Rattus norvegicus: one gene and its partners. The main gene of each other region encodes a partner of the protein of the gene in region 3 in a complex. Links are inferred from orthologs where the notes say so. Each region holds a gene or a part of one and is shown on either strand. Other genes may lie near its edges.

Region 1 (2,874 bases), on a different chromosome or scaffold from region 3:
CCACCTGTGTGCACCCTCCCTGCACTGGGGTTCTAAGCACAAGGTGCTCCCATGCCTGATTTTTGTATATGGGTTCTGTGGATCAAATTCAATTCTTCCTGTTTACATGGTGAGTACTTTACCAACTGAGCCATGTCCTGAGCCCTGAAAGAGACACTTCCTTGTCTAAGGGGAAAGCCAGATGTTCAAGAGAAGGAGCCTTCTGCCTGTTGTGCCGAGTCCTTGGTTGGCCGTGTCACATTCACTACTCTGCTGTCCCCGAGTCTGACCTGTGTCAGTGCGGGCTTCCTAACCACCCCATCTCCTCACTCAGGCCAGAACCGCTTCCCTGGTTGTCGCTGTAAGACTCAGTGCAATACCAAGCAGTGTCCTTGCTACTTGGCCGTTCGTGAGTGTGACCCTGACTTGTGCCTCACCTGCGGGGCCTCAGAGCACTGGGACTGTAAGGTGGTGTCTTGCAAAAACTGCAGCATCCAGCGTGGCCTCAAAAAGGTGAGGTCTTTTCTTGGGTCAAGATCATAGTGGGAAAGAAGAAATGTCCCCAGATGTCGTTGTTCCTTTGGCTCCTCGGAGGGGTTGTATGTAAAAGTGCTTGACAGATTTTGCCAGTGGTCGAATTAATCTAATTTTCCATTCTACGAAACGGAGCAAAGGAGTACGCACCATTCTGTTCCCCTTTGGTGTTGGATTGAAGTCCAGGTCTCTACACATGGGAGACGAGCCCTTTACCTCCAGCCTCTGCCTTCAGGCCCAGTGTAGCCCGTGCTACTGCCTACATTACAGTGTAGCCCAGACTCAGCCCCAGAGGTCCCCAAGGAAGAGGAAGAAAGTATCCTATTTCCTTACCATTTCCAGTTTTTCTTACCCCCTCAAGCGTGAAATGGTTTGGACCTTTTCTGTTTTCAGGTTCCCCTGACAGTTGGTAATTCTTTCCACCTGCCCCCATCACACACGTGCACATAAAGTACCCACACCCACTCAACCCGCCTGCCATCTAAGGCTTGCCTCCCTCTCCCCCAGCACCTGCTGCTGGCCCCTTCCGATGTGGCCGGATGGGGCACCTTCATCAAGGAGTCTGTGCAGAAGAACGAATTCATTTCTGAATACTGTGGTGAGGTGAGTGTTCCAGGTTGAGCCCGTGTTCTTACTGGGAAGATACTGACAAGAAACTCTCTGACTTTCTGTGGCTGAGGCTTCTGTGAATTAATTAGTCTCTAAATAACTCAGCCCAGTTTTCATGTGGCCTCACAGGGAATCCCACAGAACTGTTTGCAATCCTGAAACAAACCACTGTTTGTCAAGTGTTGGTGTCTGACTCTCTCTAGCCTTCACCCTGATCAGCTCTGGGTAGGGATGGGGCTAGCAGGGTCTTGCTCTCCAGCACTGCCCCTTCCCGGTTCCTACAGTGTCATACCTCGAGCGGGCATGACACCCTCTTCTTCCTTGTTTGCTCCTCCAGCTCATCTCTCAGGATGAGGCTGATCGACGAGGGAAGGTCTATGATAAATATATGTCCAGCTTCCTCTTCAACCTCAACAATGGTATGGCATGGCCTTCTGTACCAGGGTGATCATGTGCAAGTCTTTACACTAAGCAACCTTTGCTGTGATCCAGGTTTAAACCACACTGAGTCTGTCAACAGATTTTTCTAACAGAATGCTAAGCTGAGCTCTGAGGCCTCATTGGATATGCTTCATTTCTGAGTTCTGCTTGGAGTGGGAACAGTGGACACTTCCACTTGAGATGCTACCCCAACCAGTAGATGGGAGGAGGTCTAAAATTCAGACGGAGGACCCACAGGGGATGCCCCCACCTGAGGAGGCAGGCTCTGCTTTTCCCATCTCCTTTAACTATTCTGGGCTTCACACTCCCATTAGACTACATTGTTTCTGTTACCACTTAACTGATCTAAACTAGAACTAAAGAAGTGGGGGGTTGAAACTAGGCACATTTTTCATGTCTAATCCCAGCATTTGCAGGCTACAACAAGAGAACTACCACAGATGTGAGGCCAGCCTGAGACACAGGGGATCCTGTCTTCAACAACAAACAAAAACAGGCATATTTTTGCCTGTTTTGATCACAGTGGTACATACATGTGATCGTAGCACTGGGGAGGCTAAGGCATGAGGGTTACAGTAAGTTCTAGGCCATCCTGGGCCACAGAGCTAGACCTTGTATACACCCCCCTCACTCCCCAAGTATAGAGATTCCTGGGACACTCATGATTTTCTTTGATTTATGTCATGTAGATTTTGTAGTGGATGCTACCCGGAAAGGAAACAAAATTCGCTTTGCAAACCATTCAGTGAACCCCAACTGTTATGCCAAAGGTGAGTGAGTCTTCAGAGCCTAGGGAGCGGGCGGGCTGAGTGAACTCCTCACAGCCTGTGATGTTTAGCTGTCATTCAACTTTCAAGGCTGTGTTAACCATTTTCCAAGGAGATTCTTGGTGGCCTGGCTGCCATCATTTTAGGCCTCTCCTTTCTTACTTGGCGTTTTCCACTGACTACAGTAAAAACGCATTCTTATAACCATGATTCAAAAGGTCACCATTTCCCCAAACTCACTGTTGGAATAGCAGAGTCAAAAGCAGAGAGATAAGTGCCTGCCTTCTTGACTACATTCTATTTCCATTTGATCCTCTTGGGAATTTGGAGAAACCAGCCCAGTATTCTGAATGCAGGCTTGCCCTGTCACTAAGTAGGAAGGCTTGGAAGCTAGCCTAGGCTTGTCCTCTCCTCTCTGCAGTGGTCATGGTGAATGGAGATCACCGCATTGGGATCTTTGCCAAGAGAGCAATTCAGGCTGGCGAAGAGCTCTTCTTTGATTATAGGTGAGGTGGTTGGGAAGGATGCAGAGTGACTGTTGGAA
Region 2 (3,649 bases), on a different chromosome or scaffold from region 3:
CATGACCTTATTAAACCTCACACTTGTCTTCCAGCTTTCATGAGGACAAAGCCGGGCTGGCCCACTACAGAGAGGCCTGGGGCCTTGGGCACCGAGTACAAGCATTGACCTTTTGACTTTTGGAGGATGCCCACGTGGCTGAGGAGTCTCGTTCAGTGTATGGACACAGCTTTCCAGTCTGAATTCTGACTCCTAAAGGCTGGTTTTGCTAGCAGCCACCATAGGTGTTCTGAGAAGTGAAAGCTGCTTCTGATTTAGGCAAAGCCACCCCATGGGGGTTCTGCTTGTTATGAATTCATTGGGCCTGGAAAGGGAAGCCTGAGAGACACACCCCCCCCTCCCCTGTCTAGGAACCATAGATCCCACCTTGCTCACTGTGGGCAGCAGCCCTTAAGCCAGGCCTCTCTTCCCCTGGAACTTTGCACACTCATTCTCCACTTAAGTGTCCACAAATACTCAGCCCGAATATAAGACCATCTGTTGCAAGTGGGGAAGAGCAGGCAGCTTTCTCTTACTGCGTTATATCTGGGAGAGGCAGAATCCCTCATAATTGCTGTCACTCTGAAGGACTGTTGCTCTAAATGACCTCTCTTTATGTTGTAGGAGTGACTATTCCCTGGCTAAATATTGGCATGGTCTTTTCTACCTCATGCTGGTCTCGAGACCAAAATCACCTTCCATATATCGACTACTTACACACTGGTGCTGACTGCATTTGGTGAGTACGCCCAGCAGCAGGTACAGCAGCCTCAGGGAGCTGTGAGGGGCAATGCTCCTGTAGGGAGAAGAGATGTGTTTTATCCCTAGCCAGTGACTGGGCTTTCACTAGTGCTTCTCATGTTAGAGGCTGCTGTCTGGTGAATTGCCTGCTTACTCTGCATTCTCACCCCTCCCCCCACCCATTATATTTTATGGAGTTCTTACAGTGATTTCATAACAGCACTCATAAACAGCGCCATGGGGGAGACTGGTCTGGGTGGCTTTACCTGAGTGGGCCTTTGTTTGCAAGACCTCCAGAGCTAGTGTACCCATGTGATGCTGGTCAGAAACTGTCCTCATGAGGTGTGTGACACAGTATCTTCTCTTTGTTGGACCTCTACTCATGGCTGAGCTCTCTGGTTTCTGTGTTGACAGCTGCAGATGGGGGTTGACTGCATATCATAGGATGTCCTATCATCTCATAGTCTCGCAGCCTGCCGATCTCATGGTCCTCTACCTTAACTCTGCTTATTGGCCCAGAGGGATGATGAAATATTCTTTCTTAAATAGAATCTTCAAATGACATTTCCCCAGGAGCCCATGTGGCAGCAGCCTGCTACTGTGGTGTAGTCTGCTCATGACCTGATGGAGTGCTGTGTGCTGAGTGTGAGCTCAGGAGATACAGTGGGAGGGACCTGCTGGGCTGAGGCTGTGGTGTAGGCTGCCATGTGGAACCAGATCACAGTGGTCGTGAGGCAAAGGCAGATGGCAGCTGTGGAATGTGCCACACATGTTCTTGTGACATGGTCAAGTTCCTGCCTCGTGCAGATGCTCTGGTGGTTGGCACTGACCTGTGGCCAGGCATGTGAAGATGTGAGCGTTATAAGCAGGGTTTCCATTGCTGTGAGGATTCCCCTACAGTTCCAAAAGCAAGCCGAGGAGGAAAGAAAGGAGTTATTTTATTTGTCTGATGCTTCTATATCACTGTCCGTCAGCAAAGGAAGTCAGGACAGGACCTCAAACGAAAACTGGAACCCAGAGGCTGGAGCTGATGTAGAGGCTGTGGAGAGGTATTGCTTACTGGCTTGGTCATTCTTCTTTCTTCTTATAGGGGTAGCCTGACCTACAATGGGTTGGGCCCTCCCCCATTAATCAGTAATTATTAAAATTTCTTGTAGACTTGCCTACAGCTGGATCTTATAGGGGCATTTTCTTGAGGTTCCCTTTTCTCCGATGACTTAGCTTGTGTCAGAATGACATAAAATTGTCCAGTGAGTGTGAATGCAGGTTTGTTTTTGTAGCTTGAATGTGTCGTTGGAGGAGTTGAAACTTGAGAGTGTGTGGATGAGTCCTATCCCTGGGGTCATAATGACATAAAAGAAAGCAGAGCCAGAGATATGATTGGTTTTTACTTGCTATTTCAGTCACGAGTCAGTAGTGGTACATATTGGCTTTGATATAAATATTTGGGTAAAATGTGCCTGGTACCTTCTGAAACCAAGATTTGCCACAGAGATAAATTGCATGATACATGGCTGAATATTGGAGCTGTTGTTTGCCAAGCTTATATAAGGTGCTGTGTAGGTATGGAACTGAGTAAGGGGGCCTGGCAGCTTTGTCTTTGTTCCCGTGATCACAGTATTGATAAGGGGCTCTGGCTTCAGCAGCCTCAGGTCCTTTTAAGACCCCAGTGTATGTGACAACCATTTGCCCATTTAGACTGCTGGCCCTGCCCGGTGCCTGGCTCTCTGTCAGTCACAAGTAGGCTGTCCTTCACCAGACTGTTGCTCTAACCATGTAAAGTAACCCAGATAGTCATGTGCTGTAGTTGATACTTTTTTGGTGGCAGGCTACCTGAGGTATCGAGAGAATGTCATGAGTGAGTGAGGTCTATCTAGATTGTCCCCTTGACTAAATCACCACATTTCCAGCTTTTTCTCCCACTCTAGCCTCCTTCCTGTCTTCATAAGGTGCTGTCTGTCTGTCTGTCTGTCACAGACCCACAGCTCTCCCATGTAGGCTTCTACCCTCTGTCTCTTGAGTGTCGTTCTAACAGAGGCTGGGTTCTGACATCAGTAGAGACAGCAAAAGTCCCCAAGTCTTTGAGGACATCCCCACTTTTCTAACAGTTGCGGCTTTGGCTGGTTATGTGGTTGGTGTGTCCCCCTGACCAGTAAGTAGGTTCGTAGTAGTAGGACCTCTAGGTACTATGTTTTCCCATCATGAACAGCATCAAATCTTGTTCCTATACTTGAGAACTAGGCCATTCTTGGCAGCATCAGAACTCACCCAGGATGAGGGAGCGTGCAGTTGTGTCTGTTTCTGATTTATAGAGGACTTCACTATCTGGTTTTGGTTTGGACTTTTGGCTCACTCTGTGGGGCAGATGGAAAGTGAGTAGTGTGTAGAAGGCTGTGCCTGTGGCTTGGCTGTGTGCTGGGCAGAAGCAGCCAACAGCAGCAGGGCAGGGCACTGGGCCAGCCAGCTCTCCAGCCCAGCTGCTCCACAGAGGACTCACCAAGGGGCTCTCGTGTTTCCAACACCCCAGGTATTGCATTCCTGCTGAGGAGGAGAACAAGCTGGAAGATGTGGTCCACACCCTGTTGCAGGGCAATGGTACCCCAGGGCTGCAGATGCTGGAGAGCAATGTAATGGTAGGTCTGTTACTTGCCTACTCAATGGTTTAGGGACTGAAAGGGATTCTGTTGTCAGCTCCTGACAATGCTGGATTGGGCCTGGATGTGCTCCAAAAGGCTTTATTTACGGGCCTAAGGAGGAAGCTGTGTGCTCACCATGGCCTCTGCCTTGCTAGAGAATTGATGTCAGCATTAGGCTATCATGATTGTCTTGATATTTTCTGAAGGATTATAATAATCTGGTTGGTTAAGCAGTCCCCCCATCAACTGAACTTTCACATAACCTTGGCTGGTGTCCTGTGCCATACAGCAGA
Region 3 (4,335 bases):
TCATCCAGTCATTCCCATGGCTTAACAATACACCCACCAAATAAATCCACAAGGCTCACAAATTTGTTACTTGTCTATCAAGATTGTACCTGAGGGGGCTAGTGAGATGGCTCAGTGGTTAAGATCACTGGCTACTCTCTTTTAGAGGACCCACAGGGTGGCTTACAGCTGTTAGTAACTCTAGTCCCAGGGATCCAACATCCTCTTCTGACTTTGTATACCAGGCACAAATGTGAGGCACAGACAGACATACAAGTGAAACACTCTTCATATACATTAAAAAAAAATCTACAAGTGAAAAATTAAAGAATTTTAATATGATACAGGCAAATACAGTCACTCAACTAACAATTTACTTACACACACACACACACACATATATATATGTGTATATATATATGTGTATGTATATATATATATATATGTATATATATATATGCCTTTTACCTAAGTCTCACAAACTCAAGCAGTTGCTCACAATGATTTATAGGTCTTGTCAGTTTCCTAGAGCCTCAGTTTTCAACAGCTAAAAACATTTCGAATATAAATCATGGCAATTCAGAACCATGTAATTTTTACTTATTTTTGGAAACAAGGGTCTATAATGAAGCCCAGGCTGAACCAGAACTACTTGTGTAGACCAAACTGCCCTCTAACACACTGAAATCCACCTACCTTTGCCACCCTAGTGCTGGAATAAAAGGCACGCGACCCCATACCCTGTTTGATCCATACAAGTTTAAGACTTTTCTCAAACAGGTTTTTAATAAGATAGCCTTTGATTGGCTCGGACTTTCTTTTGCAGACCGGGATGATCTAAAGATTGAGGCGATCGGGCAGTACCTCTGTTGTTGCCTTTCAGATGTTGGATTACTGGAATGTATCATGCATCACAAAGTATTTTTACTTAAATCTAAAAATGTAATTTAAAATATAGGTTTACTTAAGCCAATAGTGGCACCAACCGGTTGAATATAACCACTCGTTGTACTAAGTATTTATTAGATAAAACATCTGCCCAGAACGTAGGCGTGTCCGTAGGCACTGATTTGGTACGGTTTTGAAATTCTCCCCAAGGTTTCAGAAACCGGTGGAAGGACTACCTGGTTCAGCAAATAAGAACGGAGAAGAGGAGGGGCCAGAGGAGGACGGTCTCCGTAACCCAGCGCGAGAATACGCCTCAGCGCATGCGCACCTCCAGATTGGAACCTTCCATTTGCCAGATGGGGGAGGCGAGCAGAAAACTGCCTATAGATTTTAAATCTCTACCTTCAAGAAAGAGTCTAGGTTATGCGTTCCGTGAACACTATCTCTCGGTTGTTCTTCCAAACCCCGCATCAGGGACTCTAGACACGGACACCTAAAACAAGAGGTGACTTCTCGTTTCTCCCCCCTCCCTCTGGGGCAGTGGTGGTCTGATCCAGGCCACAGACTTTCGCTCGTTTGCAGCGGGTCGGAGATCGAAGGTTTGAGCCAATTGCGGACGAAACGTCTGGGCAAGGAAGGGGGTGAGGGAGCAGCCCTTTGAGTTCCGCCTCCTCTCTAGGCGCTGGTGGGGAAGGGGGACTAGGAAACCCTGCCCTCTGAGCCAGCAGGTCCGACGCCTCGGTGCAAAGTGCCGAGAGGGCGGCGGGAAAACCGCCCGCCGGGACCAGGGGACGGGAAGCAGCCAGGAAGCCGTACGGGAGGGCGCGCGCGCGCGCGCCCCTTTTTCAGCAGTGTGGCGGGGTCGCACGCACGCCCGCCTCGGCGGCTGGGCGCGATTTGCGACAGTGGGGGGAGCGGCGGCGGTGGCGGTGCCGGCAGCTTTGCGGCAGGCTCCGGCCGGGCGTGCTTGACGGCGGTGTGGCGGAGGCCCCGCCCGAGGCGGCAAGAACCTGGAGGGAGGCGGAGGAATATGTCTGAGAGGGAAGTGTCGACTGCGCCGGCGGGAACAGACATGCCGGCGGCCAAGAAGCAGAAGTTGAGCAGCGACGAGAACAGCAACCCGGACCTCTCGGGAGACGAGAATGTGAGTGCAGCCCCGCCTGTCCGGGACTGTGGAGTAGAAGTTTCAGGTTCTTTGGTAACTGCGGTCGGGGCGGGCGGGCTGCCGTGGGGGGAGGGAAAGGTGTCACCCCGCGCTTGGGAGAACGCAGGCGTGCGGGGAAATCCAGTTTGTCTGGGGCATTCGAGGTGGAACTGCGACTGATAGCAAGCAGAAAGTTGGCGAGGAGCGGATTAAAGGTCCTGAAGGTCTGCGAGGTCCGCTCAGATCATCCCTGCGTGGGAGAGGGAGTTTGTTCCTTTGGGGGACTTGACGGTGATTGCGAATCTGAGATTGTACTAGTTTAAAAGGCATGCTGGAGGTAAGAGATTCCGTTTTCCCAGAAAAGTTGGTAGGAGGGGTCCTCCTAAGGATTTGAGGGGTTGTGTCACTGTAAAGCACTACGGAATCTTAAGGATGGAAAGTATATAGATCTCTGGCTTGAGTTTATGTGACCGTGTGGTTATGTGTGCCCTTTTCCGTGGAAGTGCGGTGTTGTGGTCCTTAGTGTCGACTTTTCTGTAGTAGGAGCAGGATCGAGAAGATAGTGGAGGGGGAGCCACCTTTGATTAAGGCAAGTGAGGGAACAATTTGAAAGTTTTTGCTTAATGTAAAGGGATTGGGAGATTTCAGGCCACTGTGGTAAAGTCTGTATTTGAGCCAAGTGTGAAGATTAAGTGAAGTCATAGTGCTTAGAGAAATGCTGCCCCGTAAAAAATAATATGCAAGCGTTGTGAAAAGTACTAGACACGTGTTCTAATAATTACTTATATTATGATAGGGTAGGCTTTGGCCTTTCGCATAATTACTCAGAATTTAATGAAAATGTCAAATTTATTTATAATGAGGAAATTTGTCAGGGGAAAAAAATTAAATGGAAGTTCATTTTATTTTCCTAGACTCCTAAAGTACATTTTTTGATGGTTTCTAAAGCTTTCTGAGACCGAATGATTGGGTTAGCTTTGGTCCCTTCTAAAAGGGGCAAGACTGAACGTTTTGGTATGTGTGTCTTTGACAGATTATTGAACCCTTTGGGGTCCTCTCAGAATGAAAGGGTTCTTGTTTGTTTGTTTGAGTTAGAATCTCCCAGTGCAACACAGGCCCACCCTCACACCTGATAACCTTCTTACTTTACTCTCAGTACCTAGAATACATTCGTTCACCACCATGTCCTGCAGAATACTGTGGATATATAGATGAAGCATATAAGATTACAAACCAGACCAAGTGTAAAACTTTAAAATATATTTAACTTTTTAAAAAGGCCAGAGGCATAAAAGCTCATTTGTAAAGCACATGCCTGACATATAGGAGGCCCCAGGTTCTGTTCTCATCAAAAGATGTACTTCCCCCCTGTTGTATTTTATTTTATTTTATTTTTTAAGTTTTGTGACAGGGTCTCACTTTGTACTCTTGGCTAGCCTGGAATTCAGAGATCAGCATGCCCCTGCCCACTAAATGTTGTATCAAAGATTCGAGGCACAGCAACTGGTTCCCCATTTAGATGGAGTAATATATGTATTAACACAGTAAATTGCAGGTTCTGATTGATAGAAGTGATAGGCTGATTTTTCACGACCCACAACAATTGTGATACAAGATAGACTTTTAACTGGAAAATCCAAAATCTGAACTTTTTGCATATAAGAAGAAACAGATAAATGTGATTTTTCTTTTTTTAAATCAGGATCCTGTTATTCCCATGCTGGCTAAGATCCTTCTGCCTCTGCCTCCCAATTGCTGGGGAAACAGATGCCTGGCTGAAAATGATTTCAATTTAGGAGTCCAATTTAAGCACAGTTTAAATTTCCATTAAAAGCTAATTGTACATTTACATCAAATTGCAGTTCAGTCACTTGTTAGTCACCTGCTTTGTGTCAGGTACTTCATTCCTTGGTTTTTTTGTTGGTTGGTTTTTTGTTTCGGAGTCTCATAGGCTGGCCTCAAACTCATGGCTATTCCCCTGCCTCAGCATTCCAAGTACTGGGATTGTAGGAGTGAGACACTATGACTAGCTTCATATCTATTTGGTGTTATGTTCTAGAATATTGTATTTTCTTAAAAGACATTTTATTTTTGACCAAGGTGAAGTTTGAAAAAGAACTAATGTTTTCTAAATGAATTAGTGGCTTTTAAATATCTTTTGACACGTCTATTTATTTTTAACCTATTTATTTTTTGTAATACAAAACCAACTTTAGGAAGCCGTAACTTAAGATCACAAAAGCAGTGCAGACTTCATGGGCTTTCGCTCTAACAGCTGTTAGACAAAATGGTTCCTCTGGAATGGATTTAGGGACTACTATTGC

What was found.
Region 1: the proteins of Eed (region 3) and Ezh1 are in contact, whole or in part, in a cryo-EM structure (PDB 7KTP), measured with the Homo sapiens proteins. The link is inferred for Rattus norvegicus from reciprocal best matches to the Homo sapiens genes EED and EZH1. Residues at the interface, in NP_003788.2 of Homo sapiens: Cys84, Val85, Asn86, Ser87, Leu88, Lys89, Glu90, Asp91, Trp103, His104, Ser105, Lys106, Glu107, Val112, Arg120, Leu123, Tyr124, Gln129, Gly130, Glu131, Ile132, Arg133, Leu134, Leu135, Gln136, Ser137, Tyr138, Val139, Asp140, Tyr154; in NP_001982.2 of Homo sapiens: Gly37, Ala38, Lys39, Leu41, Tyr42, Val43, Asn45, Phe46, Lys48, Val49, Gln50, Lys52, Thr53, Gln54, Leu56, Asn57, Glu59, Trp60, Leu63, Arg64, Val65, Gln66, Pro67, Val68, Gln69, Ser70, Met71, Cys83, Thr84, Ile85.
Region 2: the proteins of Eed (region 3) and Jarid2 are in contact, whole or in part, in a cryo-EM structure (PDB 6C23), measured with the Homo sapiens proteins. The link is inferred for Rattus norvegicus from reciprocal best matches to the Homo sapiens genes EED and JARID2. Residues at the interface, in NP_003788.2 of Homo sapiens: Pro95, Phe97, Tyr148, Arg306, Asn307, Tyr308, Cys324, Asp362, Ile363, Trp364, Tyr365, Arg414, Asp430; in NP_004964.2 of Homo sapiens: Pro109, Gln114, Arg115, Lys116, Phe117.

Annotation. Positions count from the first base shown.
Region 1 is NC_086028.1:86,628,477-86,631,350, reverse strand, and holds part of Ezh1 (histone-lysine N-methyltransferase EZH1), read left to right. Parts: intron 1-313; coding exon 314-492; intron 493-1,020; coding exon 1,021-1,116; intron 1,117-1,459; coding exon 1,460-1,541; intron 1,542-2,252; coding exon 2,253-2,333; intron 2,334-2,751; coding exon 2,752-2,836; intron 2,837-2,874.
Region 2 is NC_086035.1:19,990,888-19,994,536, reverse strand, and holds part of Jarid2 (jumonji and AT-rich interaction domain containing 2), read left to right. Parts: intron 1-603; coding exon 604-718; intron 719-3,247; coding exon 3,248-3,353; intron 3,354-3,649.
Region 3 is NC_086019.1:153,304,640-153,308,974, reverse strand, and holds the start of Eed (polycomb protein EED), read left to right. Parts: upstream 1-1,474; 5' UTR 1,475-1,897; coding exon 1,898-2,011; intron 2,012-2,060; exon of another isoform or gene 2,061-2,339; coding exon of another isoform or gene 2,340-2,348; intron 2,349-4,335. UniProt on the Homo sapiens protein: Polycomb group (PcG) protein. Component of the PRC2/EED-EZH2 complex, which methylates 'Lys-9' and 'Lys-27' of histone H3, leading to transcriptional repression of the affected target gene.